Linked DNA regions of Rhinolophus ferrumequinum. The protein of the gene in region 1 interacts with the protein of each later gene in a pairwise test. Links are inferred from orthologs where the notes say so. Each region holds a gene or a part of one and is shown in the gene's direction. Other genes may lie near its edges.

What was found.
Region 2: the proteins of PRKG1 (region 1) and FAM124A interact in binary tests that used the Homo sapiens proteins (3 or more experiments, as listed by UniProt). The two-hybrid records come from large-scale screens. The link is inferred for Rhinolophus ferrumequinum from reciprocal best matches to the Homo sapiens genes PRKG1 and FAM124A.
Region 3: the proteins of PRKG1 (region 1) and IRAG1 interact in a two-hybrid assay, tested with the Homo sapiens proteins (2 studies listed by BioGRID). The link is inferred for Rhinolophus ferrumequinum from reciprocal best matches to the Homo sapiens genes PRKG1 and IRAG1.
Region 4: the proteins of PRKG1 (region 1) and LMO2 interact in binary tests that used the Homo sapiens proteins (3 or more experiments, as listed by UniProt). The two-hybrid records come from large-scale screens. The link is inferred for Rhinolophus ferrumequinum from reciprocal best matches to the Homo sapiens genes PRKG1 and LMO2.

What each region holds. Positions count from the first base shown.
Region 1 is NC_046299.1:34,130,852-34,138,323, forward strand, and holds the start of PRKG1 (cGMP-dependent protein kinase 1), read left to right. Parts: upstream 1-4,385; 5' UTR 4,386-4,822; coding exon 4,823-5,133; intron 5,134-7,472. UniProt on the Homo sapiens protein: Serine/threonine protein kinase that acts as a key mediator of the nitric oxide (NO)/cGMP signaling pathway. GMP binding activates PRKG1, which phosphorylates serines and threonines on many cellular proteins.
Region 2 is NC_046287.1:86,533,868-86,541,380, reverse strand, and holds the start of FAM124A (protein FAM124A), read left to right. Parts: upstream 1-4,225; 5' UTR 4,226-4,228; coding exon 4,229-4,293; intron 4,294-7,513.
Region 3 is NC_046294.1:41,872,980-41,880,574, forward strand, and holds the start of IRAG1 (inositol 1,4,5-triphosphate receptor associated 1), read left to right. Parts: upstream 1-4,225; 5' UTR 4,226-4,612; intron 4,613-7,595.
Region 4 is NC_046294.1:23,927,931-23,935,188, forward strand, and holds the start of LMO2 (rhombotin-2), read left to right. Parts: upstream 1-3,933; 5' UTR 3,934-4,211; coding exon 4,212-4,218; intron 4,219-4,350; coding exon 4,351-4,579; intron 4,580-6,851; exon of another isoform or gene 6,852-6,967; coding exon of another isoform or gene 6,968-6,987; intron 6,988-7,258. UniProt on the Homo sapiens protein: Acts with TAL1/SCL to regulate red blood cell development. Also acts with LDB1 to maintain erythroid precursors in an immature state.

The sequences.
Region 1 (7,472 bases):
TCAACTAATATTAGGCATGACGGTAATTTGGTATTAAACTCTAAGCACATTAGCAATTATGGTACAATGCACTATTACTTTCCAAGTCTCTGCAGTAAGTTTTTCATCATTAATGGTTTATGGTTTTTTTTTTCTTTTCCGTACAGAATGTGTCATTCTCAATAGCAGAACTTCAAAACAACCCAACCATAGAATTTTTACTTATATGCATTTAAATATGCATTCCTGATGGCTGACTCTATCGGCCTACACAGGCGTAAGAATTATATAATTCTATAGGAGATAAGTGAATAGGTGCTTATAATGCTGTGCTTAATCCGTAGGAAACCAGTCTTTCTAAACTCCAGATTTCTATAATAACAATAAAAGAAAACAGAGGCTTAAATCCTTGTCTAATTCATCAAAGTGTAATTAAAATTCTATTGTCTGATTCATTCTCCTTTATAGTCCAAAGACAATTTCTGTGGTGTATTAGTAGACGTTGGAATAGGATGATTGCTTTCCTAAAACATATTTATACAATTACATACATGAATTAGTAATGTGCCTAAAATAATAGGTATTATTGCAATGGATCTTCCTTGGTTTTACTTTTCTATCAGTAACTTTGAAAGCAAGATTTGAAAATATGCATAAAATACAGAGGCTCAGCAATCCTGAATTCATTAGGGTGATCAGCCATCCTGGTTTGCCCAGGACCAAGGGATACTTAGCGCTTTAGTTTGAAAATCAGGACAGTCCCAAGCAATTTTAGTATTAAAACTAGGACAATCCCAGACAAATTGATAGAAGTTGGTCATCCTGAACCAGGATGAAATGGCACAGGAGTGAAGACAGTGTTGGGAAAAAGAACTTTTTGAAAATCTGTTTCCTGCTTTTGCAGGATTTTCTAAGTGACTCCTCTTTCCACCTCCCCAGCCCCACAGTCAGGCTAGTTAGTGCTAAGAACACTCATTTCTTTGGATTCAGAACCAAGACAGCAGCAACAGTTGGAAGTTCTGCAGAAGGAAATGAAAGGTGGGGGAAAGGTGGGGGTAAGGGACTGAGCTGTGTATTAAGTGATCTGGATTTGAGTCCAGGCTCTACCATTTATTAGATGGGTGATTTTGCGCCTCCATTTTCTCAAATATAAATGGAAATAATGATAATGTCTAACTTGTAGAGTTCCATGAACAATGTTAGCTATGCATTAAGAGTTCAAGAAAGTATTAAATAACTGCGTTATTTAATATTTTATTCAATAATTCTGAGGTTTATTAAGGAAGGCATAATACTAATCCACATTCATGAGGGTTGGATACAAAATTGAAGAGTAATAATATGCCACAGGTTGGTTTGGCTACTGGAGAAGCTTTGCTTCTATTAGAGCTATTACAAACAGATTGCTGAAAAGTCGATTGTGAGTGGACTATGGAATTCTAGAGTATAAATTGGGTTCCTTCAAATTTGCATTGTTCTCTGTTTTAGCATGTATCATCAAGATGTCATCCCAAATAGGCAGTGAGAGAACTCAGTATATGTCATTCCACTTTACTCCTTTCCAGATTTATGGTAGCTACTTCTTAATGAGTAGAAAATAGACTTGTGCCTGATCTTTGATCTTAAAAATTTAGCCAACTACATTAACTATAAGACATACAGTAAAATTTGTCTGCAGGACCTTGATTTTTCACATAAAATTTATTCTGAGCATTTACCAAGTACAATGCAAAAAATGTTTAAGAAAATATTGGAATCACTCAAAAGGTGAGATGGAAAAATCAAGATCTAATCAGCCAGTTAAGAACATCATTGAAAAACGTACATAAAATATTTATTTCGACTTTAAGAACGTAAGAGGAAAGCCTAGAATTTTGATTTTGCATATATAACTATAAAGTATTTAAAGTATTATAAAGATACAATTAAATTATTCTTAAATTATATAGGCTAATATAACCAAATATATTTTTATACCTTGAACACCTTTCAAAGTGTAAGTCAGTTGTAATAGTTGTATCTTCTTGGTCATTTACTTTGTTTGCACTTATTAAAACAGATTCTTGACTTTTAATATGGGATTCATCGTGGAATATTTTGTATCACAAGACTTCCATTTAAAATGAAAATGTAACATGTACGAGTATATATCCTATAATTGTATCTAGATGTGATAGCTTAAATAGTGAAAAATATTTATATAATTCAGTGTAAAAAAACATCGCTTTTGTTAAAAAATACCCGAATATTTTTTGGTTGAAGTGCAATTTTTTTATGTGGGGGAGGGGGAAATGCTTTAGTTTCTATTTTCCTTTGTACATGTATACAGTCTTTCTACAAATGAGAAAGAATATCCTCTACTTTGTGCTGCTTGAAGACATTAAGTAACCCCATTTAGTCCTCAAATGAAACTTCAAATATAACCCTGCTTAGCAGTTATCTAATGATATTCCTTATACATTGCTTTTGATGTATTTTTAGACATAAACTCTTGGCCTCCTGGAACCCTATAATAGATCAATAGAAAAAAAATCATTTAGTTTTAAACATTTTCCCATGGAATTAAAGAATTCCCATAGGTTAAAAAGATAAGAATTTGGCCTTTTGCCTGGGAAAGGGAAAATATCACAGGAGCTCTTTTAGAATAGTGTCACTTATACAAAGCCACAGAACTTCTGCTTGGTTTAGTTTTAATTAAGACAACAATAATTCAGAGCTATCATTTCCTGCTATCAGTATTTATAAGTTATTCATGTTTTGTTCATCACAAATGAAAATGTTTTGAGAATTATCCACTTTGTATATTACATGTCCATGTTGGAAAGCAGAAAAATTAAGTGTCTTAAGTCATCTGTGTTGAGAAAATTAGATCATAATCTGCATGGAAGAATGTTTAAGATTATATATCCTTTGTCATTTACACCTCTAATTCCAAACAAATACACTTTAAATAAAAAAGCTTGCTACCTTGCCTGTGGCTAGCTGGTCTTCCCTTCCCTTCCCTTCCCTTCCCTTCCCTTCCTTTCCCTTCCCTTCCCTTCCCTTCCCCTTCCTTCCTTCTTCATTCCTTTTTCTTCCTTCCTTCCTTCTGTTCTTCCTTCCTTCTTTCCTTCTTTCCTTTGTTTTTTTCTTTTTCAGCTTAGATAGGAAAGTTTTGTATTCAAAAGTAAAAGTGAGCAAGTTTGTTTTGAGACTAATATACGTCCTTGGCTAAGTTTAGATTCCAGTGAATAGTTCTGGATTCCAATTCAGTTTTAAACTATTGTCTATCTACTTTGTTTAGTTTCAGGGAATTGCCAAATTCAGCATTGAGGTTTATAATACTGAGTGTCCATGAATAGTAATTAGAGGGCTGCTAATAAACATACTATAAAATGGGATGAGTTGGTAAAGATTTAGATAAATATTAGGAATTTAGTTAAGTATAAAGTAAATATTTGGAGATTCTAAACATGTCTTCCAATGATGGCAGAATTACCCTTGGAAAAAAAGGATGCTACCTCATAGTCATCGTTGTTGGAAATTTTGAGTGGGCAGGCATGGAGTGGGGTGCTATAGTGTACGATTTATTGCAGCCCAACTTGGGTCCCCCTTCTCTTTATGATCTTCCCTCTTTTTCAAAGTTTGAGTCTTGCCATTCAAGTGGAAGGGTACAGTCCTAACACTTTGGTTGTCAGGGCAGTAATATTTTTAAAGGTATAGTTCAATTTTAGGATGAACTTTTTGAAGCTCAGTAATGATTCCCCCCCAACCCCCCCACCCCAAATTAAGCAAAGGGAAGTAGCAATGCCCATCTATGAACAATTCTGCAGACACTAGCTCAGGATAGTGGAGAAGCTGAGTAGTCTTTAGGGTCCAAACCCATTTTGGCCTGTACCCTAAAAAGAGTTCATTAACATAAGTTTTGAGGGGTGAGAGGTGAAAGGGGAGTCATGAGCGGGCAGAGAGTGGCAATGCTGAGGGAGAAAAGGTCAAACGTCCCACCCTCCAACCTCCCTTCCCCAAAGGCACCTGGGTGTTAGGGGGAATCCCTCCCAGGCATGGATTGGCTCTTATCTCCTGAGAGGCAAGTTTCTTTGCAGCGTTAGCCACCTGTGTGCTGCACTGCCGGTGGGAAAGGTGGCTTGGGTGAAGGGAGAGCTCAGCCACATCGCTCGGGAGCCTTTCTTGCTGAGGCTGGCGGTCCAAATACCTCCAGAACCCAGAGCGTTTAGGATGCAGAGTGCGTTCTGCCCGCTTAAATCGCCAGGATTGTAGCCCGTTGTCCTCCAGACCGGTCAGCTCTGGAGCCGGCTGACACCTCCCCAGTTTGCACAGGGTCCTGGCTGTCCTTTCTCTCACCTCCCCACCCCCAAAGTGGTGCTCCTGCCTCGCTCCGCCTGCTCGTCCCCTGGCGCGCCCCACAGGGTTATCAGGCTCCCCACACGCACCGCTGGCTTCCTCTGGCGCCCGGCACGAGCGACCCGAGCAGACCAACCACCGCCTGGGAGCCTCATTCACGTCCCCTTCTCCCGCTTCCCTGCCAGCGCGCTGCCTGCTGCTCTCCCCCGCGCTGCGGCGCCCACCGTGTGTCAGGTTTAATCCCGGGTTGGACCTGCTGCTTTGCTCATCCCCACACTCAGCCTCTCCGTCAGCCCCAAGAAGTGGAATCTGCACTGAAACTCTCCGTGGCTGGAGCCGGCGGACTGGGCATGCTCAGAAGCCAGGGCTGGCTTTGGTCTCAAGTAGGAAGCTTTTGCACTCGGGAGGCAGCGGCGACTTTGGGGAAAGTTGATCGGAGAGGGGAGGAAGCCCCAAGACGCGCAGCAGCGGCAGGAAGGAGCCCCCGGCAGCCCGGAGGAGCATGGGCACCCTGCGGGATTTGCAGTACGCGCTCCAGGAGAAGATCGAGGAGCTGAGGCAGCGCGATGCCCTCATCGACGAGCTGGAGCTGGAGTTGGATCAGAAGGACGAACTGATCCAGAAGCTGCAGAACGAGCTGGACAAGTACCGCTCGGTAATCCGGCCCGCCACCCAGCAGGCGCAGAAGCAGAGCGCCAGCACCTTGCAGGGAGAGCCGCGCACCAAGCGGCAGGCGATCTCCGCGGAGCCCACCGCGTTCGACATCCAGGATCTCAGCCATGTGACCCTGCCCTTCTACCCCAAGAGCCCGCAGTAAGCCGGGGTTGCGTGCCGGGGCCATGTGGCACCCTGTTGGTGGGGAGCGGCGGGTGTCTGTGTTGTCTGTCGGCCCCCGCCCCTCCCGCTTGCCTTCTCTGTCCTCATCCTCAGAAATGTTTCATTTCTGGCACCACTTGCGGGGCCGTGCACGTTTCTAGAGCCAGACTCCCTGCACCTACGTTGCCTTCATGTCTTTGTCAGATATCAAGCTATTTTTTAAAAAAAATCTGTACATGTACATTCATATATGCCAACTACTGATTATAGAGTTTGAATGTGCCCCAGGTGTGTGTCCGGCTGTGTGTGTATGAGTGAGTGTGAGAAGCTGAATAAAAAGCCCCATCTCCCAAATGCCTTGGCATAGCTGCCCAGCCGGAAAACCCTCAATGCCGGCTCATCAGACTTGAAATGAAATGCGTCTGATATCATCCTTACTTTCTATGTTTTGGTGGCTCTTCCGGATTTCTCTACATGCTGGCAGTTTACGCTGGTACCCTTCAAACCTGATCTTCTGTCATCATCAAAGTGTCAAAAATAAGCAAATGTGTATATAAGAGGGCAGCTTTTTTGATTTCCTGAATTGGATGGCATTTGCAATCCACAAATGGAAGCTTAGTCTGTTGATTTAAAAAAAAAATTTTTTTTCTTTTTCCATAACATCTGAGGGAGAATATTGCTTATTTTCCTTAAGGAATTTGCATTAGGTTACTCATGGGGCACCTCCTTCTCCAAAGGGGGTTCATGTTTTCAGGTTCAAATATAGAGAAGTACACTTACTTACCTTTATTGACAACGTAGACACACTATTTGCCTTACTCCTTGCTTCTGATGCAACCACCCTAGTATTGTTCTAGCATTTTAGAGAACTACGTAGTTCTGATGTCAGTGGGCTTCACAACTTGGGTGGGGAAAATTGAATGAAACTTGTTATACACCACTCAAGTCAGAGTTCTTATATAAAGTGGTAGGAACGTGAGATTAACATAGAATGAGCACCCACATGGATGGTGTTTTAAATTAACAGATAGTGGCACAATTGGCAAAATGAAGGATTTTGATGCTCTATTCCAAACTACATCACATTGGCTAGATAGCATGTTACATAATCATACAAGGTCCCTTGGAACCCTTCACTTCATAAAAACAAAGAACTAATATAAGGAGAGAGAGAGAGTAAATACTTGATTATATCATTTTGTACTTATTGGATTTGAGAGAGCTTGAGAGTATATACTAATTCCACTTTTGAAAACTTAAAGTTGTACCTATACTTGTTGGTTCCTGAAGAGCATTTGTTGTTCGTCATGCAGGTTTAGCTTAATGAGGGGTTCGTATTTTGTGAGAGAGTGGGGAAAAGACAAGAAGGATAAACATTTCTGAGATTCTGACCTCATCAAGTTGTCTAATAGTTCAGTAGACTTAGATCTGCCTTGGAAACCTGAATGGTTTCTATATTCACTCCAACTTTCTCTGCTAAATTAATTTGCAGTCCTGACATGCTTGCCTGTTTTAGCTAACGAGGTACATGGCCATCTCTCCTGGGCCAAGTTTTGCATAATGAAAAAAATAACTCAAAGACAGCTCTCTGGATCTTTAAGCATTCCACAGGATCTCACTTTAGTAACTGCAGGACTTTGGAGTAACACAGAGCAAACTCTGCTTTTATAAAAAGACCATTTTAATAGGTTTTATAATAAAGTATGATCAAGCCAGCTGATAATTCCAGTTAAATGTTGTATCAGACAAGATCTAAAGGAATCTAGAAAGTAGGGAAGGACCTGAAGTTTTAGAAATCTCTTAGTGCTTGACATGAAGAACAACTAGATTTTTTAAAAAGTCCACAGTGGAAAATGAAATTAGTGTGGCATATAATTCTGTTACAATTAACATTTTATCTGTCGAGCAATTCTCTGCATTCTGATATTTATTTAATAGCTTGTGCTTTAAAGAAGTCAGCTATTAAGGTATCACCATGATGGTTTCGGTAATTCTGAAAGATTATATTGAAGAAAATGATAGAATGTCTTCCAAGCTTAAATAATTTTGGAAAAACATCTGTTCTTTTTTTCACACTTACATAAAGGAAACTAGAATAAAATTGGCTTAAGTGGTAGAGTGTACCGCTCTTAAGAGAAAGAGAAGTGCAAAATTATTATTCTCATGTCACTTGAAGGATTGTGCAAGATAGCGCCACAAAAAATTAGGAAAATTTGCCAGAGAAGCCTCGTTTGCATTTCAATTTATTTTACTATAAAAAATTGATTATATTGGATTGGTGCAAAAGTAATTGTGGTTTTTGCAATTATTTTTAAACTTTTAAACTGCAGTTACTT
Region 2 (7,513 bases), on another chromosome or scaffold:
GTGACGTCTTATTTATATGATTCATAGTTTCTAGAGAGCTTCAAGTCTCCTGTGAGGATTTATATCAACACCCATTTTAAGGATAATGGGAGTCTTATAAGGTTTTGTTGAGGATTAAAGAGATCATGAATGTAACATCCCTACCACAATCCCTGACATGTAGTGAGAGTTTTTAAAACAGTTGATGGTCTACCCTTTTCTTCTACTGTGTTTCCCCGAAAAGAAGACCTAGCCAGACAATCAGCTCTAATGCATCTTTGGGAGCAAAAATTAATATAAGACCCGGTATAATATAATATAATATAATATAATATAATATAATATAATATAATATAATATAATATAATATAATATAATACTGGGTCTTAATTTTTGCTCCAAAAGACGCATTAGAGCTAATTTTCGGCTAGGTCTTATTTTTGGGGAAACACGGTAGTGCCATGACTGATTCAGGTCCAGAGGTCAGGTTTTGCGTTTCCTGGCCTATTACACTTCCTGCCATACCTCAGCATTCCTCCCACACTGTCCTCAGACTCTGATGGGAAAATCTTTAGGGCAGCAGGCAGAGCACCCGAAGCAAACCAGTGACACTCCTCTGCTCCCATCTTGCAGGGATGAGGAAGGAGAAAATTGTACTCCCATGATTAAAGTGATTGATGCTAAATAGTTAGAAGTAGAGCCAGGGAACCATGCAAGATAATGGGCAAGATACCCTATGGTGATCACTGCAAGTCCCCCTGCTGATTCCCTGCTGACAGCTCTATTTCCAAAAAAATAACAAATAAAATGAGGCTCCTCAGACCCGAGGATTGAAGTGGGAGCCCATGCAGAACCATGATACATCAGCTCAGAGGGATAGTGATTACCATTCAGACTTTTCTTCCAGATAATAAATGCATCACTGAGTTGCCATCAGATACTGTGCCAAAGATAAATGATAACACTTGTGTCCCTTTGGTCGAGGGGACCTGAATCAATGCATCATTTTGAGATGTGGCCCAAGCTTTTTATTTGGTCTGACCTTTCTCTGTATATTTAAAAAAGACTGAAATAATTTAAGTAGCATCTCATTTTCCACAGCCCTCCTTCTAAAGGCCATGCTAATTTCACTCTTTCTTCTCTGACTTTTTCTTAATGCAGTCTTCCTGAGAATGGACTGGCCCATCCATTAGCCCTCCAGGTAGATGACTAGAACTCCATGGCATATAAGGGTCACCTGGCTTCTCCACTCACTCATTGGGTGGCCTGGGGCAGGCACTCGCTGCAGTTTAGTTTCCTCCACTGTAAAATGGAAAAATACACCTACTTCATAGAACTTTCTTTGTCAAGGGTTAAATGAAGTGACAAATATGAATTAACCCTACACAGAATAGACAAAGGTAGATTGTAAGCTATAGTAGCTATAAGAATAACAAGATGGTAGAATGCTCATTGTACTTATCTGTTTTTCCACTTTAATCACTCCCTTTCATCTGGTTTCATTGACACTGTATTTCTTCTTCCACTTTCCAAATAGGCAATAATTGTCTATTGATTTCCCGGAGATGTCACATTTATATAGAAATGTCTATCACCTCTGCCATATTGTGTTCTTCCAGTCACCTAGGTTTACTTTACTCCCCCTCTAATCCATGCTCAGTGCCCCACCCTGCCTCACACTTGCTGGTCCCCACCAGGGACACTCTCCTCACTTCCCACCTCCACGCTGGGTCTGTTTCCCCTTCATTTACCCATTCACAAAAGGAGAATAGAAGTGTAATCTCATAACCAAGAAAAAACACAGGTAAATACGCCAACCGCAAATCTTAAGTGAATTATCTTTACTAAGCATAAAATTAGTTTTATGTAAAAAAGAAATGGATATATTTTATTTATTTATTGCTCCAGGTGTTGGGGATATAGCAGGGAACAAACAGAGCCTTTGCTCTCATGGAGCTGGCATTCTTGGAGTAAAGTTGGGGAGGGAAGAGCAGGTAATTAGTAACTAAATCTATCATATGCTAGTTGCTGGTAGAGTTATAAGAAAGCGTAGGAGAGGTAAAGGGATTCTGTGATGTAGGATTAGTTGGGAAGGGCTCTCTGATGAGGGACCATTTGAACATGAAGCACATATAGCAGGAGTCTTGCAGAAAATCTGGCAGAAAGTATTCCAGGAAGAAGGAACAGCACACAAAAAGGCCCTGAGGCAGCAGAGGGCTAAAATATCCCTTTCTGACACTCAAATTTAAAATGTTCCCTTTTTCTCGGGGCGCACTATGCTTTTCTTTCATAGCATTTACCTCTGTTTATGTTTTATATATTTCAAGATATCTAATTCACTTAACTAGTCTCCCCCTCTGGATTACAAACTCTGTGAGGGCAGGCACCATATCTGTTGCTGTTTTCTGTCATTTGTATATTCAGAATTCACTCTCCTATCTGGTTAAATCATTGAATGAACTGATAAATTTAAAATCGTCATTAATGGCATTGTGTAGTAAATCACTCACAAAATTTATTTTGTCGCGTGAGAATTTTCTTGGGGGTCGGGAGAAATCTCCTCTGAAGAACTGGCATGTTCCTTTTTCTCAGCTAATGAGCACAAATTGAGTAGAATATATTCATTTCTGTTTTGTGTAAAAGGAATTTTATGCTCAGTAAGGAAAATACACTTAAGATTCGGGGTTGGCATATTTACCTGATGAGGAGATTGCATTTCTATTCTTTTATTACTAGTTTTCTCTTTTGTGTAATTTAATTAAGATAAGCATCAGAAAGTGATATTTAGGTGGGGAAGGAAGAAATAAAGGGAGGGAAGCAGGAGAGAGGAAAAACAATATATTCCTCTTTATGGTATCACTTGTCACCCAGAGTGACACTGCTTTGCAAGTTGGGAATGTAGCTGGCTTTAAATGTAGCGATAGCTGCCTGTGACTAGCGCTTGGCAGGTATCAGGACCAACGTTAAGTATTGTACATACATGATCTCATTAAATTCACAACAGGCTATCGGGTAGATAGCAATAGCCTTATTTTACAGATAAGTAAATTAAGCCTCAAAGAGATTAAATAACTTGTCTTAAAACAGAAGAAAGTAGAAATGAGTGCCTTCTACTGACTTGGACGGGGCTGTCAGAATTAAACCCAATGGTTCTGGTCTCCCCGCCCCCTAAGCGTCCATCCCAGCTTGTCAGACAAAGAGAAGCGAGTCCCTCCAATAATGATCACTAACTCACCCCAGGTCTTGACAGGGGTACTTTACGAACATCTATCCCCTTACTGCAACAACCCCTGACTGAACGAATGCACATTGAATGGTCTTTATTTTAAAAGACATTTTGTTAAAAAATAGCACAACGATGCATGGCACCGATTGTAAACTGGGAAGTTGGATGGTGGGAAGCCACTCAGACCTGTGCTAAGAAAGGGGATAATGAATTCCGTGTTGGCAATTCTGAGGAAACTAGAAGAAAACACCTGGATATTCCTATTCGTTCCAGAAATGAAACAGATCCCTACTTGATTTCACTGTGCGGTGGGGTATTTTCCCCGCGCAGTTCGCCGCGCCGGTCTTGGGAACCTCGGGGCAATCCCTGGGACTCTGATTCACAGAATGTGGGCCCAGGGGAAAGGGGTGGCTCCCACAGGCACACATGCACTTAAACACGCCGCCCGCGGTTACAAATCACAGACAGGCACAGGAGCAATCGCGTGCAGTACATACACAGAAGTGTGCACTTCCAAACACATACCTCACCCGTCACACCACAAACACAGGCGCACGCGACCTCACACACTTCTCCCACTCGTGCCCGCACACCACACACAGGCGCGCAACACGCGAGCTCACACATGCTCGCGCACATGTGCACATCTGCGCGCACACGCTTACACTCGCGCTCACACCCTCTTGCGCGTGCACATACCCTCATTCACATACACACACCGCGCGCACACCCTCACACCCGGAGTACACACCCTCTTGTGCACGCACTTATAGCGTGCACAGGCTCACCCCGCTGAGCAGCGAGGGGCGGGGCGGGCGGCCACTGGTGCCCGGCCCCTGGTGGCCAGGAGAGGGCGCGGCGCGGTGGACCGCGGTGGACGCTGGAATCCTTTGCCCTAGCCAGGGCGTGGAGACGCGAGCAGCCAGCCCCGCCAGCTCTGGCTGCACCGTGCTGGGCGGCCCCGAGGGAGCGTGCCCCGGGTCACGCCGGCGCCCGCGAGCAGAGCGCGGCAGGGAGCGCGCCATGGACCGCAAAGAGGGCGCTGGCGAGGAGGATGACTGCGTGGACTCGGGCGCAGAGACCGGAGGGTGAGCCGACGCGGGCCGTGGGCGGGGGGCGCTCTCCGAGTTGCGCGGCAGCTCCTACCCGGCCCGGGACCTTCCTGGACCCAGCGGCCGAGCGGGAGCTGCCCCTCTCGCCGGGTCCCCAGGGAAGTCAGAGGGTCTGTGGCGGGCCCGCGCCCCCCCAGGCCGCCCTTAGAGCCGAGCTGCGTGGTCCATGGCTCCTGGGGGCAGGATGGACCCACCCCAGGGATGGGGGAAAGTGGAAAGACTTACGGTTCAGAATACCCGCCTCCACAGGCCCCCGCCTCAGCCCCTCTTGCCCTCCGTTATTACTGAGATGATGTGGAGTGCCAGGCAAATGCAGTGTCCCCGAGATCATCGTTAGACAAACAAGGGATGCTCTTGCACTTGTTTCGTGAGGACTTTCTTCTTGTATCTCCCGAGCCCTCTGAAGTCCGGGGTGGGGGCTTGGGCATGAGGAAAAGAGGGTAGGACACCCGGCACCTAAAACTCTTTCAGAAGTCGTCTAAGAGGATAGCATTTTTCATTTTATGGCTTTCCGAGATCCCCCACCCCCAACTCCTCCACTCCCCCGCCGAACTTCCTCACCTCTTCGAGCACCTGCCCCACCCATAACTATTTGCCTTAGGTACAGGTGGAATAAAGATCGTGGGACGAAGACCTATTTAGAGAAATGTTCGCTTTAGAGTTTGAGTTCGCTTCAATGGACTCAAACAGTTACCCCAAACCTTCAGAGACTAATTAGCCCTCTCCCAACAAAACCGGTTTCCTGAATGTCTCTTAGGAGGTGAAAGTCATTGTAAAGTCTTCCATCCAGCCCCTATCTCTAGAGGATTTCCCTATGCAGAGTCAGCGCCATGTCCAGGATGCCTTTACCGACCCAGGAGGAAAGGGTGTCTTTTCCTGTCTGGGGGAGGGCTGGAGCTGCCCAGACAGAAAATCTCCATCCTGGAAGGTTGGGAGGTTTAGACTAATTTCAGAGGTTGGCAACATTGTGAGAGTGGCAGAAAGAGAGTCCAGGTCCAGAATGGACCCATGGGTCTGAGCAGTCCCAAAGAAGGGCTCCCTACTCAGCCCCCTTCCTGCAGGCCCACCCCCACTCTTCTTTGCAGCCTCCACTGCCACTGTTAGCCCAAATCTGGGACTTTATACCCTAAAGCATTTGCCCTGTAATGGACTTTCCCTGTTATCCAAATTTGTGATCCTCTATGGTTCAGAACCCAACAATATTCCAGTGGAGTAACCTGACTCCAAATACTGAACTCCCTTACGTTTTCCCACACTTTGTATGTGTGGCATTTATCAACTTTAATTGAAGATCCTTAGCTTTCCCCCCACTCCTGCCTCTAGTTAGCTGGACCGTGAATAGAAGAAAGCAAAATTAACCAGCTCATTTTCAGCTAGGTTAAATAAAGCACCAACTAGTCCATTTGTTTTCAATTTTCAGAGCTCACCTAAAACAGATATTTTTTCCAAGGTCTCCCTCTTGGAGAAATGAGTGGAGAGGAATCCCTGACCCAGGAGGGTGACATCACCCCAGGATCCCAACGAGCAACATGACAGCTGCCAGGACTCCTGGGAATGGCTTTGCTGAACAGAGCATGTTTCCCTGAAAATAAGACCTAGCCGGACAATCAGCTCTAATGCATCTTTTGGAGCAAAAATTAATATAAGAACTGGTCTTATATATAATATTATATTATTGTCATGCAGGGTGTCATGTGGGGTCTCAGTTCCCGCTCCCCGCACAAGAACACAGGATACGGTGAGGCCAAAAAGAAACAACAATAGAGCCACAAATAGGGGAGTCATACCACTATATTCTCGCAGGTGGCTGGGTTGGAGACGCAGGAAGCAGGAGCCACAAGATCGGCAACCTGCCGTCCACTTCTCTGCCAACCAACCCCTTGCTAACTGCAATCTGCGCTTGCTAGCTCAGTCACGGCAGTTATATCAGTGGCTAATGGCTAACCAGTAACAGCTGATGGCCAACTAGTCACAGCTGATGGCCATCTACTACCCAAGCCAGCACCTTTCCTCATGAGGCCGAGAGCCTGGAAACTGCTCTCCTGGCTCTGTCCCCACAATTATATAAGACCCAGTCTTATTTTACTATAAGACATTTTTACTATAAGAATTGTTGCTTCAAAAGACACATTAGATCTCATTGTCTGGCTAGGTCTTATTTTCAGGAAAACACAATACTGACACCAGAGCTTCTATTCTCTGCCTGTCACAAAAGTTTGCAGTTGTAACAGGACAGAATTATTTAAAGAATTCTTATTGCCTCAGTAGCAGCCTTAAAGATACAGGTAGAATGGCCTGCATTTAAATAACATAGTTTCTGTGTGTGCTTATTAGTCTTGTGTTTGCCACATATTCACAAATCCCTTGAAGTTTCGTTTAGTTATCAAAAAGCTGTTCATAGTTTCCCTGCTTTTCTAGAGCTTGCCCCCTCTTACCCTATCTAGCTTTCATATAGCTGCCTAATGTTGGGTATAAAATACAGAGAGAACACTCAATATATATTTGCTATCATTATTATTTTTTAAACACAGATCTGATCATGTCTCTCTCCCGTTCAAACTTTTAGTGGCTCTGTCACTATAAAAGGTGAGGAGCTCAGCGTAGCCTACAAGCCCCCATGCTATGGGTTTCTTCTCTCTCTCTCACACACCTTGCTTCTTGGAAGGTCCACCCTTGTACCCTGCATCTAGCCACATCAGCAGGGTGTTTCCAGGTCCTTGCTTTTGTCAAACTGCCCTCTTTGCCAGCTACGCCCTTTTCCACCTGGCATGCCTCTCCACCAGGTGCAACTCTACTCTTCTTTTTCAAGACTCGGCTCAAGTGACACATCCGCTAAGGCAGAGATCCTTAATTTGGGGTCCATGTATTGCCTCAAGCTTATGCAGAATGGTACCATTTGTGAATTTTTATGAGAAGAGACTGATCTTTATCTTTAAAGTAGCCTGTGATTTCCTCCAAACCAAGTTTGAGCAGGGTGTGAGAAATTTCATTTTCAATAGGTTGCGTTTGAGGTGTTGGGAGACGTCCAAGTAGAGATGATGAGCCTGAATGTGCCTACTTACCTGGAGCTTAGAGAGGAGGTATGTGTGATGACATTGCATTAGGGAACTATCTGCCTACAAGTGGCAATGGAAGCCGCGTAGAGTAAAGCAATTAGAGGCAAAAGCAAACACTTACCTAGCATCACTATGTGCAG
Region 3 (7,595 bases), on another chromosome or scaffold:
CTGATTTGTTCACTTACTCATCCAGGGCCTACTAAACGCTGAGCATATCTCAGAGTCCCTAAGTATAAATGGGGCAGAGAAGTCAAATCTCCCAGTGTGGTCATCTCAGCACTCAGTGTCTGAGCGGGCAGTGCTCTTGGCAAGATGCTGCTGCTCCTGGCTTGGCTTCCCTTGGTCCTAGGATGTGTTTCTGGCCTGGGACTTTAAAACTTCCCTGGCCTTGAGTCAAATGGCCTGTGGGGAGAACATCCCCATGCTGTGTGTCAGTGTGCCTCCACCAGCCCACTGTTGTTATGCTGAGGACATATGATTGTCTCCGATGGGCATGAGTGATGAGCTGAAGATTTTGGTAGAGCGAGGCCAAATCCCTGTGTGGCTCCAGGAACAGGGATAAATATAGCCTGAGTAATTGCTCATGTTCTTTTAAGGACGAAAAGTCAGCTTCAGGCAAGCTGTGAAGCTCCATGACCAGGACAGCAAGGGACACAGTTCCTTTTTTAGAGCTGTGGTCAGCCCTGCTTGTGCACTGCTGGATCCTGGGCCTCTGTGAGGCCATTCCCACTTGAATAAAGGGGTCACCTTCACTAGTCTACACCCCATGAGGGCAGGGATGGGTCTGAGGTGTCCCTACCGCATCCCATTATTCAACACTCTTCTGGCACAACAAACATTTTTAAATGAATAAACGAGCAGTGAGAAGGCTTTATTTTAAAAATAATCTTTAGAATAAGATCTATAGTCTAGTTAACAGTAATGTACCAATGCCAACTTCCTGGTTTTGATATTATACAACAGCCATATAAGATGTCACCACTGGGGGGACGCTGGGTGAAGGGTACGTGGAACACTTTGTACTATTGTTAAAACGTCCATGTGTCTGTAACTATTCCAAAATAAAAAGTGAAAAAAAAATACCTTTAGTCAGGCTTATGCCAACACTCTTTGATGTCTGGAGGAAGCCGTGCTGAAAGATGGATTGATTAAATCCCTGTTCACAGCAATGTTTTTGTTTCATTATTTTTGAATGTAAACACACGATTTATTCATACCAGTATGATTCAAAACCTCACATATATTAAGTAAGATAGATATTCTTTCCCTCCACTAGTTCCTCTCCCCCAAGGGCAGCTAATATTATTGGTTCTTGTGCTAATATTAGTGAGATTGTGTGTACACACACATATATACTTGTGAGTGTGTATGTGTGAATATAGGAAGTATGACCATTAAGTTCACGAACTTGTTGCAACAATGTTGCTAACTTTTTTTGATATCAGAGGGATTATTCATTATGAATTTGTACCAAATTGACAAACAGTTAACCAAGTTTACTATTTGGAAGCGCTGAAAAGGCTGCGTGAAAAAGTTAGACAACCTGAACTTTTCACCAACAATTCATTGCTCTTGCATCACGACAATGCACCAGCTCACACAGCCCTGTCTGAGGGAGTTTTAGCCAGAAAACAAATAACTGTATAGGAACACCCTCTCTACTCACCTGATCTGGATCCCAATGACTTCTTTCTTTACCCAAAGATAACGGAAATATTGAAAGGAAGACATTTTGATGACATTCAGGACATCAAGGGTAATACAACGACAGCTCTGACGGTCATTCCAGAAAAAGAGTTCCAAAACTACTTTGAAGGGAGAACTAGGAGCTGGCATCAGTGCATAGCTTCCCAAGGGGAGTACTTCGAAGGTGACCATAGTGATATTCAGCAATGAGATATGTAGCACTTTTTCTAGGATGAGTTCGTGAACTAAATTATCTGAACTTGTAAGTATATTTTTTTGTGTGTATTTATATATTGTTCTATTATCTTACTTTTTCCACTTAACCATGTATCTTGGAGGCTTTTCATATCAGTACTCAGAGCTTCTTTATCCTTTGTGATGGTTGTACCCCATCATGGCCCCCAATTGGTGGACATTTATGTTGTTTCTAATCCTTTTGCTTTTTTCACAAAGCTGCAATGAATAATCTTGTTCAGTTGTCATTTCCCAGGTGTGAGAGTGTATTTGTAGAATAAATTCTTGAAAGTGGAATTGGGTCAAAGGATACGAGACTTAATCTTGATAATGCTAAATTGTCTTCTATAGAGCTTGTTCCAGTAATGTATTTTATGAAATTCTTGTGTTAATAAATTGATTTTAAAAGTTATTTGGTGATTCCTTTGTGAGTCTGGTGAAAGCTGTGGGCCTATACCCAAGAAAAACACAAATCACATGGTGTTTTGCATACAATTTTAGTTGGCTCAGTGATGCCTGACAGCTATCCACGAACCCTAGTTTAAGAAATCTTGGCTGAAGGGGAGGAGGTATGGTATAGGGGAAAGAGCTGCAGGGCCAAACTGCCTAAGTTCACACCTTAGCTCTACCACTTACTGGCTGTGGAACATCAGGCAAGTTATTTCACCTCTTCAAGTCTCAGTTTCCTTTTTGATGGAAACGTATAATAGTTCTCTTTCATGGAGCACTTGTGAGGAGACATACATGCTTTCATATACAGAATCTAATACTGTAGTTTGGAACAAAGTAGATGCTCAATATACAGTTTGTACATACACACACACACATACACATTCTCCCTCACATGTACGCAAAGCTGATGGTTCCATTTCAACCTATGTTTCTGGTTGTCTCTGTAGTAACTCCTGCTGGATTTTTATAAGATTGATCATTGGCGCACAATTCCCCAAAGTGTGTGGTCCTTGGAATCACCTGAAGGTCTTAATTAAAATGCATATTCCTGGGTCCTACTTTAGACCCATGGAATTAGCATTTCTGGAAGAGGGATCCAAGGAGTTTCATAGTTGGGGATTCTAATGCACAATGAATTTGGAGAAATGGTGTTAAAGAGTTTGGTAAATTCCTAGTCCCTATACCTGCAATTCTAGTCGTTAGCACCATGTGGCTTTGCCAGTAGGAGCCAGTACCCAGCAGATGGGTAGGTATAGATACCTGAGGAAAAGCATGGCTAGTACCCAGGACAATCTCCTCTGCTTCCATCTACAAAAATACAATTATTTATGAGTGTAACCGACAACACGCCCTGCATTCTCATCAGGACTCTCTCATAACAACCAGGGAGGAGAGATAGTCCAGGACTAGATGCCCGTGGAAGGGGCTGGGATGGAGGCCCCGTGGGCCAGATTTGGTGGAGAAAGACTGTCATGAGTGGGGTTTCTGACCCATGGCCAGGAGCTGGGGATAAGGACTGTGTACAGCCAAGCGGCCACCACCAGAATGGCTTGAGGTCACAGGCCTTGAAGCATCAATCCCTAGAACTCTCAGCATGACTGATGAATACATTATGGGTGACATGTGATGGCCCAGGGCTAGAGTTGTCAGGTTTAGCAAATGAAAATACAGGATGCACAGTTAAATTAGAATTTCAGATTGAAAAAGAAACCCACATATTTTTAGTATAAGTATGTCCCAGGCGATATTTGGGACATACTTATACTAAAAAAGTTATGTGTTGTTTATCTGGAGTTCAAATTTAAGTGGGTGTCCTGTATTTTATTGGGCAAGCCTACCCAGGGCTTCTCTCTCAGATGCCTCTAACCTCAGAAGAGGGCTGGAGCTCCCACGTGACTTGCCCAGAACCTGGAGCTCCATCATCTTGGCTCCAGGTGAGCACTGCACCCAAGGTGGGTGAGGAGTAGGGACAGGGCGTGGCCTTCCAGGAGAGAGGCAGCCCTTCCTCACCTGTGTCTGGGCACGGACAGGAAACGAATGTGTGCCGATTGGCACTTATGAGATGCTGGCACTGTGCTAAGACCCCCCCCAATATTATCTCATTTAATCCTCCTACAACCCTATGAGTTAGGTGTTATCACTATTATCCCCACTCTAGAGACCAGGGCACTGAGCTTCCCTGATGGTAAGATCACAGGGCTGTTCAGCAGAGGAGCAGGGATTGAAGTCCCTGGGGCTGGTGCCCGGTCTCCGATTAGCTGAACCTTCTAGGCCCTTCTTTCTGGCAATCCCAAGGGTTTAAGGTGGGAGCAGCCCCTGCCCCCCGATCTCCGGACAGGAAATGTTCCTAGTTTCTCCTGGCGTGGGGCCAGGGTCTTGTCCAGGCTCACAAGCTTGCTGAAGATTCCAGGCTGGGAGGCTGATCTGCAGAGTTCCCTCGGTACCGGTCTAGCCAGGACAGCGCCCAGTGACACGAGCTGCCCATGGGCACTGCCACCCACTGTGCGGGTGCCCGTGGGGGGGGCGGGGAACCAGGTGCCCTCTCCAGGGCGAGTTGTTGCCTCACAGGCCCAGCCTGCCCCGAGCCCTGGAAGGGTCTGGTCAGCTTCCCCCGACGTTAGTCCCCTGAACCCGGCCCGAGGGGGCTCCTGGAGGAGCTCTGGGCTCTAAGTCCCAGCCCCTCTCGGAGGAGGCGGGCGGCCGAGGCTTCGCAGCCAGAGGCTTCTCAGCTCGGAGCTCCGCTCCGGAGCCAGATGTAACATTGACCTTAAATGGTAAAAGCTCCCCAGAGTGAAGAGAGGCTGGCCAGAGGAGGAAGGGGAGTAACTCAGTTTTAGGTAAGTCATCGCTATATCCAAGAATAACCTGCCTCTTCAGCCGGGAAGCGGAGGGAAACTTCTCCTTAAAGGTACAGGGAGCTGGGATGGGGGCGCTTGACTTTAACTTTGCAGGGGCGTTGGCTTGTGGGGTGGCATTTCAGCTGAGTATTTTTATGTCATAATTTTTAAATAAGTGAATCTTGCCAGTCCTAACTAAACTAAATCGTGCTCCTTTTGCTTGCTGTTGGAAAGCGTTGCACAGGTTAGGGTGAAAACGGGTTCTGACTGGAGGTCCCCACCTCCAGATTTCCTGTGGGCCCTTTTGGGGCAATAGAGGATCCCCAGATTACACAAGCCTGCGTTGCCTGCTACCCCTCTCCCAGCTCAGCTCTGTGCTTACTGCCCCTCTTTTTGCTCCCCCACCCCCACTCGGTGTGGCCCCTGTGTCCACCTTGGGCCCTGTGCTGGCCCAGCCCTGTTTCCATCCTTGACCTACTCTGTTTCTGTTTCTGCCCCTCCTGTCCTGTGTTTTGGTCAGAGCTCCTGTTTTTATCTGTCCCCATCTCTACTTCTATCTCCAGCTTTGCCCTCCCTTCCCGCGCTCTTTCCCTGCTCCTTAGAGGGGTTGCGTGTGCCCAATCTGTGCCCCAAGCCCTGCTCACCTCCAGGAGCTCAGTGTCAAAGATATTCCTCGAGTGAGCGGCACTCAGGCTGGCTTTCTCCAAAAGAAAGGCCAGTGGAAACCAGAGAGGGCTGCCCAGCTGTCTTGCTTCCTTCTGCTCAGTAAACAGTTGTAAAGCCCAGGGATGCTCTGCAGTTTGAATAAACAGAGAAAAGGGTCTAGAACCCCTGGCCAGTGCTCCTGCCTCCCAGAGCTAGGCAGCTGCTGTTTTGATGCTCTTCAGTCTGCTCGTTAGGACTCTCAGGGGGAGACAAATCAGCCTACGGGCTTGTCTGAACTGGGTCTCCTGCAGGAAAAAGGAGAAAGCTTCCTAGAACTGTTAGGCTGGGAGCACTAGGGAGTCAGAGTCTGCTAAAGATTACGTTGTACCCACCAGGGGGCAATGACAGGCCGGTGAGACAGGTGGAGTTCACTCCTCCAACCTTGCCCCAACACTTTTATGGGGATGCAACTTGGGCTAAGTGACTTGCCTAAGGTTAGACCACTAAGAGAGAACAGAGTTGGGACTCTAACCCAAGTCTGTATAACTCTAACTCCAATGCTAGTGTGAGTACACTCCTGCTTTGAATATGTCTTGTGATTTCTGACCTAATGGACAAACCAGTTGTCATCATCATGTTTGTTCAGTCCATAATTTAGTGGTGTGTGTGTGTGTGTGTGTGTGTGTGTGTGTATTCACAGCTAATATACCTTCCTGTATACTTGGTAGTAAGTAGGACATAGCTGCATACTCTCTAAGATTGTCTGGTAGATATAAACAAGTGCTAATTGCTACATTATCAATGATCTCCATCAACCTATTTTCTGGAAGAAAAATAAAAAAAACAAACATGCCATTCTTGCTATGCACCATGCTCTGTTCTAAGCACGTCCCATGTAGTAATTCAAGACTTCCACAACCCTACAAAGCGGGCATCCTTGTTACTACCCTCATCTTAGAGATGGGGACATTTTAGCACAGCTGGCACTTGACCCCAGGCAGCCCATGTCTGGAAGGTCCACTCTTAAGTACCATGCTCTGTTCATCTCCAGGTGGTTCTATTTCTGAGAGGGTAGTGGGGGAGCATGGACTCTTCCAACACTGTGTCTGATTTCCCTGTGTGATTTCATGTGTGCTTTCCTGCAATGTTACGAGGGATGGATGTTTATAGACGAGGACACTAGGATTAGGGAATGTTCAATTACTTGCCCAAGGTCACCTAGCTGCCACGTGACATAGCAGAGGATTTAGTATCTTGGATGAGAATAGTTAGGGCCATGTAATACCTTCCACTTGAAACTAATTGCAAGGGGGACCAGTGAGTTCAGGGTGAGGGGTTCTGTGAGTCTCTGGGAGAGGATTCTGTGCCTGAGGGGCTGAACTACCCGAACGGTTCTCAGCGTCCCCAAGAGTCCCTGCCTCTTTCCTCTAAGTCTTGGCAATAAACGTGGATGGATGCACCTCACACCTCCAGCAGGAGTGGAAACAGCCCTGGGAGAGCAGACACCCCGCTTCAGGCTCCGCTGTGTGTTCTATACCCAGACGATGCTGGGAGTGAACTAAGTGCTCAGGGTCTTTCTTTTCTTTTTCTTATGAGGAGATGGACGTAAGGCTCATAAAGTATGTTCTGGTTAAACAGGGCCCTGGGTTTATTATGTATGTGTGCCTGATGATCAGATGCTTCTAGCCTGGCTTGAGAGGATGCAAGGTGGGGGCCTCAGGTCATCTGCCCCTTCCCCATCCTGCACCTCTCCTGGGCAGACCCATGGAGTCACTGGTCTGCTGCTCAACTATCCTTTCTGTGGCTTGGAAGTCAGCAGAGGGATTCGTTTGCTGACTGAGGAGGAGCAGAGGCCTGGAAGGATGGGAAGGAGAGATCTGGGAGCCCCCAGACTCTGTCCCAGGCCTTGGAGAGTTCTGTGAATCAGGGGAAAGAGACAGAACTGAGTTCCCATGTAAGTAAATAACTGTAAAAGGAAGGAGGAGAGAAAATCGATATAAATTGAGTTCCTACCTTTGCCAGGATCTGTGCTAGGATTGCTATTTAATTTAATCCATGGGATAGAGATGAGGGCGCTGCTACTGAAAGAGGTGAAGTGACATGTCCAGGGGCACACAGCTGGAAGGTGTCGAGCGAGGCTTCTATCTCAGGCCACCTCGGTCCAAAGTGGGCACTTCCTGTGTTAGATGCCACCCTGTCTCTACTTAGTAACTCAGATCTCAGGTCACTTATCAAGTGTCACAGTCCAAATGATGGAAAAATCAAGAAAAGAGGGAAAGGGGATATTGTGTTTGCCCCGTGGACCTGGGAGGCCAGACCCTGAGTTCAGGTGACAGCCTAGGACACCCTCACTGGATGGGCTTTCAGACCCTGAGCCTTAGCAGAGGCAAATGGCCTTGGACAAGCCCT
Region 4 (7,258 bases), on another chromosome or scaffold:
GAAGTAACTTCCCCCAAATCACACAGCTAGTAAACAGCTGAGCTATGTTTGTCTGGCAGCTATGCTCATTCTTCTGAACTCAGTTGATGTGCATTTTTTTGATATATCTATATTTTGGGGCTCTTTTCTACAGTATAAGAAATCTGATTTTGTTTTTTTTTTTTTTTTTTATCAGTAAGGTTACTAACAGGTCAAACATTCTGTGAAAACATTTCCATCAAACAGCCATGAAATGTTCTGAAATAAGTTTGGGAGCCAGGTGCCTCTGACAATTGAGTAGTTTAAGAAATTTTCATGAGAACTGAAGCCATATCAAAACAAATCTTTATTTTTGTTCCTATATGTGAATGTCACAAATAACAGGCATATCGTGCAACTTGGCTTCTAATGGTTGGAAAAGAAATGAAAGAAGTAAATTGTCGTTCTTGGCATTTTCCCAATGACATTTGCATTTTCATTTCTATTAGAAGTCCATTTTAGCACAGAAATGTAGCCTTAGTCACCTGAAACTGCTCTTCCCTAGAAAACAATCGTAAATGTAATAAGCCAAAAGAATAGAAAACGCCAACAGGAAAGAACTAATCCACCTGGGCTCAGATTCATCATACAGACTGATTCAGTCTTCCTCTGACATTCACATTCAGGAAGGAAAACTTGGAAATTTTCTAAATTTTAGGGTATTTAAGATTTAAGAGGAGTGAGGGAAGGGAAGAATTAAATTACAATCCCACTGGGTAAGAATCAAGCACAGATTTCCCCAACTCTCAAAAACCATTTTACGTGTTTAAATCACCTCATAGTTACTGAGTCCCTCTTCTGCGTAAGGTAGAAGGTTGTTATGGAAAGAGACAATAAGGTCATGATTGCTTTAAAATATTCATAATAAAAACACATTTTCAGACTTGATTCTAAATGTTAAACTTAAATTTGAGCAATTTAATTGCCCATTGAATAGAAATGAAATCCCACCGGTAGGCAGTTATTTCTTCCAACCACTGTGTGTGAAATTGAAATCTTAAGATACCATTTCAAATATTCACTTCTCTAAGGAAGTTCTCCCCAAAGAGTTGTGAAAGATAAGAAACTAACCCAAAGTCATAGGCAGTAATCGCTCTTTCTTTGCACTTGGGTCAAAACAGAAGCATATTATTAAAAAGAAACTTTATGCGCCAGAATCAGCCGTTCAATGGTTACCTCCTGGAACCCAAGGATATATTTATTTTAACAACTAACTTGAGGCCCATACAAAACTGTAGCAAGAAAGTAGTAACTTATCAGATTTAATCAAAACAAGGAGATGCAAACATATCATCTAGTCACCAAGATAATGAACATTAAGATGGAAAATGTTTATATGTTTTGTTGAGCAGCAATAGGCGGTAAGGTAAAGGGACCCTGCTCTGTTTGCTGTTTAAAAACAGAGTTATTTTGTAATTTGGGTGGGAAATTCTTATCTGAAACCCCCATTTCACCTTTAAATTTAATTTCAAGCTTGCTTTGTTTGTTTGTTTACTTATTTATTTATGAGGTATAATTGGCGTACGTTATATTAGTTTCAGGTGTAAAATACAATGATTCAGTATTTTTATATATTGTGAAATGATCACCACATAAGTCTAGTTAACATCTGTCACTATACATAGTTACAATTTATTTTCTTATGATGAGGACTTTTAAGATCTACTCTCTTAGGGGCAGCTGGTTAGCTCAGTTGGTTAGAGCGCAGTGCTCTTAACAAGATTGCCTGTTCAATCGCCACATGGGCCACTGTGAGCTGTGCCCTCCACAACTAGATTGAAACAACTACTTGACTTGGAGCTGATGGGTCCTGGAAAAATACACTAAAAAAAAATTTTTAAACAGTTTAAAAAAAAAAAGATCTACTCTCTTAGCAACTTCCAAATACGCAATATAGTATTATTAACTATAGTTTGTCTAGTCTGTGTAGACTGCACATTACATATGTAGGACTTATTTGTTTTATAACTGGAAGTTGGTGCCTTTTGACCCCCTTCACCCATTTTGCTCACCACCCCCCCAACACACACACACATACACACACTGGCAACCATCAGTGTGTTCTCTGTATTTATGAGTTTTTTGTTTTGTTTTTGTTTTTAAGATTCCATATAAGTAAAATCGTATGGTATTTGTCTTCCTCTGTCTGACTTATTTCACTTAGCATAATGCCTTCTAAGTCCATGTATATTATCACAAATGACAAGATTTTATTCTTTTTAATGGCTGACTAATATTCTATTGTATATATGTATAACACTTTATCCATTCATCCACTTATGGGCACTTAAATTGTTTCCATATCTTGGCTATTGTAAATAAGGCTGCAATGAACATGGGGGTGCATATATCTTTTTGACTTAGTGTTTTTGTTTTCTTCAGATAAATAACCGTATGTGGAATTGCTGGATTCACGCTCTTTTTAAAATCTCCCAATGATGTCTTTTGCTATAACATAGCAGCTGCCAGTTATATGCCAAGTGCTTTCCATGCATTAAATCTCATATTTATTATTACCCCCACCCCACAAAGTCTATGTGCCACACTTTGCATGCATTCACTTATTTAATCCTCACATCAACTGATACAATGGGTCTGGCATCCCCATTTTACAGATGAGGAAAATGAGAGTTTCAATTCCTGCTGTTAGCCCAGGTTCACACAAGTGGGAAATGGTGGATTGGCAGGCAGGCAGTCTGACTCCAGAGTCACAACCCAATAACTGCCTCCTCAGATTAAGTAAGCGTCCAGGGACTCACCTCTGACTTAAACCACCTTTCAGGGTGAACTCATCCAGGCCCTTCAGTGCCATCTTTAAAATGGGAATAAAATGTCTATCACCATGGTCCAGACGGTTCATAAAAAAACTATGGATTCTGAAAGTGCTTGGTAGTTTCCTCTTTACAAGATTTGTGACTGGTGTCATGTACAAATAGGCATTTAATAATAATTTCTGAATGTGATCATTTTCAAGGAACTCTGATGAGGCCCAAGGGACCCAAAGTTTTTCTCTAACAGAGAGCAGACTATTGGCCTCATCTTCTCCCCTTCTGCATTTCTGCCTCTTCCTAGAATTTCTCCCTGAGGTTGGAGGGGAAACCTGAACTTCAAAATCAAGTCTGGCTTCTTCCCTTTCCCTGACCCGAGGCAAAATAGTCTCTTGATCATTGCTCTTGATCATTGGAAAGGCACTTTCTCTGTGCAGAGTATTACTGGCACTTTATAGGGGGCCGGTTTAACCGCAGGAGTCCGATTTTTAAAAGATGCTGAGGGAGGGAATTCTGCTGCCAGCAGATGGAAAGGAGACTCAGAACAGCTTGGTCCCTCCCAACCACCCTCCCTCCGGGATTAGCTGCCCTGACACTGCTCTGGCGTACCCAGCCCGTGTGGTCCCTGCTCGCACAGTTCCAGCCGCCTGTCTAGAGCGCGCACGCAGTCACAAGCCCGCAGCCAGCAGAGCCGCGCTGTCCCGGGCATCCCCGCGCACCGCGTCGGCGGACCTGGGACCTCGAACCCCGGACGCGCGCGAAAGCCATTCGGAACGCTTGCATTTCTGTATGTGCTTATTTCACATTCTTGTCTTTTCTTTCTTCCCTGAGCGGCCCGCTTGTTACTTTCAGTCTTAGTTAGCCAAAAGGGAAACGCCGAAGAGGGGAAGCCCTGAGAATTGATTTAGAGGCAACCCAGCCGCCTCTCCAAGGAGAGGTGTTCACTGAGCGACTCTCCCCGTCCCCGACGCGGGCCCCTTTAAGAAGCCAAGTCTGTCCTGCTGCTGCTGCTACTGTTTGTATTGCAAATCCCCAGGAGCCCCGTTTAAAAAAAAAAAAAAGGAAGAAAAAAAGGGAGGGGGGGGACCGGGCAGCTGTCTCTTTAAATGTGATTTCCTTCTATTGTATTTGAATCGTGATCAGGAAAAAGGAAATGAAACCAGAGACAGAGGGAAGCTGAGCGAAAATAGACCTTCCCGAGAGAGGAGGGAGCCGGGGAGAGAGGCAAGGTCCCCTCCCCGCCCCCAGGCCGCCGCCCCCTCCTTGCCCTCTGCGGCGAGCTGCGCGCCGCGACCCGGGCTGAAGGTGCGAGGGGCGAGGGGCGGCCGGGCGGGCGCGCACCATCCCCGCGGGCGGCGCGTCGCCGGGGACAGCGCGCGAGCCGAGCCGAGCCGAGCTGGACCGGGTGGCGGCGGCGGGACCGGGATGGAAGGTTAAGTCCTGAGCAGCAGCTGCTGCTGCTGCTGCTGCAGCCGCCCCGGGCCAGGCTGCGCGCCCGGTTCCCCGCCTCGGCCGCGGCGCGCCGGCAGCTCGGTGATTCGCTCTCTCTCTTTGGCGTTTGAAGGGAGCGCGGTGACTGTCCTTGATCGCGGAGGGGCGAGCTCGCCGCCAGAGCGCCAGAGCAAGAGGAGGTGCAAGAGCGGCGGCGGCGGCGGCGCCCGAGCACCGGAGGGGGTCCGAGCCCCGGCAGCCGGCCAGCCCTGCGCCACAAAGGGAGCGCCTCCGCCGCCTGGCACGCCACCTCCCTCCCCAATGTCCTCGGCCATCGAGAGGAAGAGCTTGGACCCGTCTGAGTAAGTGTGGCGCTCCTGCCCCTGCCACCCACCGCGTCCACGGCCTCGCGCCCCGGGGCAGCAGGGTGGCGCCGGCGGCCAGCTAGAAGGCTCCAGGTGCGCGCCCGCAGCGTGCCCTTGGCTCACTCCGCCTTGCGCGGGGCTCCCCCTGGCTTGCGGGTGACTCCAGGGGCACTGGGAGAGTGGCTCGGCGGCAGGCGGCAGGGAGAGGAGGTCAGCCCGGCGCCTCTGTGGGCCCCTCTGGGCTACCTGGAACACTCCCAAAAGCCGCCGCGGGCCAGAAAGTTTACAGGGGAGCAGGCACAGCGGGGAGCTCGGAGGCGCGTAGGTGCCGTCCCGAGAGCGTTCAGGGCTTGATTCTTCCCCTTTTTCCCCACGAAGCTTGTTCTCAGCCCCCTTTCTCTTTGTCCATCTGGTCTTGGACAGGGGGACATTCCAAGTGGATTCACCCTGAGTCCCCACCGGCCCCCTTCCCGGCCCGCTGGTTGAGCAGTCGCCAGCACAGTCAAAGACGGGCGGATGAGGGCTGCGAGCGTCCACCTCGGAGCTCGCTTTGGCCTGCAGAGACTTTAGAGCAGCTAAATCCGGAGTTAATCTGGGTGCATGTCCCCCCTCCCCTCGGAGTCCACCGATGGGGTCCTTGTAAACCTCGAAAGTTAGTGCACATTTTGTGTATAGGTGAATTTTTCTGGGGAGCCGAGTCTTACATCTTTTATCACAGTCTACAAGGAGTCAGGGAGCCAGAGCTCTAACGACCGCTTGCCGCATTTGTTTCCTGAGCCTCTTACTGGTTTGAAGTGTTTCCCTATTCCCAACCTATCTACCTCCAGCTCATTCCTTGGTGTTAACAGGGGGAGAAAGGGTTGTTTAAGATATTTTCCCGTCAGCACAAATGCCCTTTTAAGATTCATTAGCTGTCTGGTTTTGAGAAATTTTATTCCTTTGAAGTCCCCCATCTAATCCTTTGAAGGGATTTGTTACACAGACCAAAGGAGCTGGTTAATGACTTGTCCATTTGTGCTTTTAAGAGGCATTTGTTTTGTTTTGTTTTCTTTTCTTTTCCTGCTTTAAAAGAATTGTGCTTTCCTGATTGAAGTTCTCCCCTCCCCCGCCCCCACTCCAGTTTCAGCCTTCTGTGGTGTTTATATACCTGGGTTTTACCCTCAGTTACCAGCATAAAAGCTCAGCGTGTTCTCATAAAACACAGGAAGTACCATGATCCAATGAGAATATAAACATCACTCTTCAATCTTGAAGGTTCAGACACCATTTCTATAAGGAGCTAGGTTTGTTCTAACAAAACCCAGCTTCCTTAAGTTCTCAGGAGAAAAATTATATATATATGCACAGACACTGGGTTTAAAGGGTGGTTTTCTCACTTTTTTTTTTTACAAACCTAGAATTACAACTTAGCTCTGGAGTTTTCAGAGCCTGAGCAAGACCACAGTAACGCAGTAAGTGAATTGGATGAATTGGTGCCTAATGCCTTTTCAAATAGCAGAACTTAGTCACTAATCTTTTTATTAGAAGATAAATCTGGAGGTTTTGGTGCCCTAAAGGAAGTTTGCTCTTTTCAAAGTTTGTGCTTTTCCACTAATATTAGAAAATGGAAACACCCTAACCTCATAGCACAACAGGCACACACTGAAGGGAGCTCATCTATTCCATCCTATGTGTCACTATTTGCCCAGTGAAGGCAGGTGCTGATGGAAGGTAGTTTTAAGAATTACTGCAGCACATTTTTTTCCCCTCACTCAGAAATTGTCGAGAAATTATCCCAGAAATCCAGGCTGACATGTATTTCAGGTATAATGTATAGGCTCTAGAAGAATATAAAATATTAATTTGAGGGTGAATCCCACTCGGTTATTGGCTTGGAACATCCACCAAAGATAATGTGATATTATCGTTAATTACAGAAAGACAGATAGAGCCAATATCTTAACCTGTTCTTTCCTGTCTCAGGCCATCACAGTAGCTTTTGCTTAACTTCTCTGCTGTGGAACCCTATCCTACCAGATGCTTTGTTGTGTACTCACTCAAAGCCCACTTGGGTTAGTGCGATCCACATCTCCAAATGACAGATAAAAACTTGCCTAGGCATATGCAAATGAAACATTTAGACAGAAAGACAGCCAGAATTCTTGGTCCTGGAGATTTCCTCTGCCACACAGTCGGTGGCCCCCAGCATCACCCGGTAAATAACAAGAGCAGTTCATTTTAATTCCTGGCAGTTTGGCACCAGCTAAGTGCAAATTCTCCTCTTTCACAGTTGGTTGGCACCATCAGCATCAGGGCATCCAGCGGTGTTAAAGTTCCCTCAGTGTTTTTGAAAGCCCCAAGTAAGACCAGGCACTGTAGAAAGAGAAGAGATGCAGTTCTGGGTTGATGCGCATGGAAAATGCTGGGTATGTTATTTTTCAGAAAAGAGACTGGAAGTCCTTCCGTCTAACCTGTGGGGGAAAAAGAAAACCAAGTCAGGCGTCAGGGAACTCTTAAAACTGTTTTAAAGTCTTGAGTTTTTAAAAGAAAACTGGCTTGGGTTTTTCCATTTCCTTGTTCTAAAAGGTGATAATCTCATGAAAGACCCTTATATTCAGTCTACAAAATGTGGGCTTGGTTTTGGTATGCCTAAAGAGTCAGGAGGTGTGCACTTTACAAAGTCATCTGAAGCTGTCA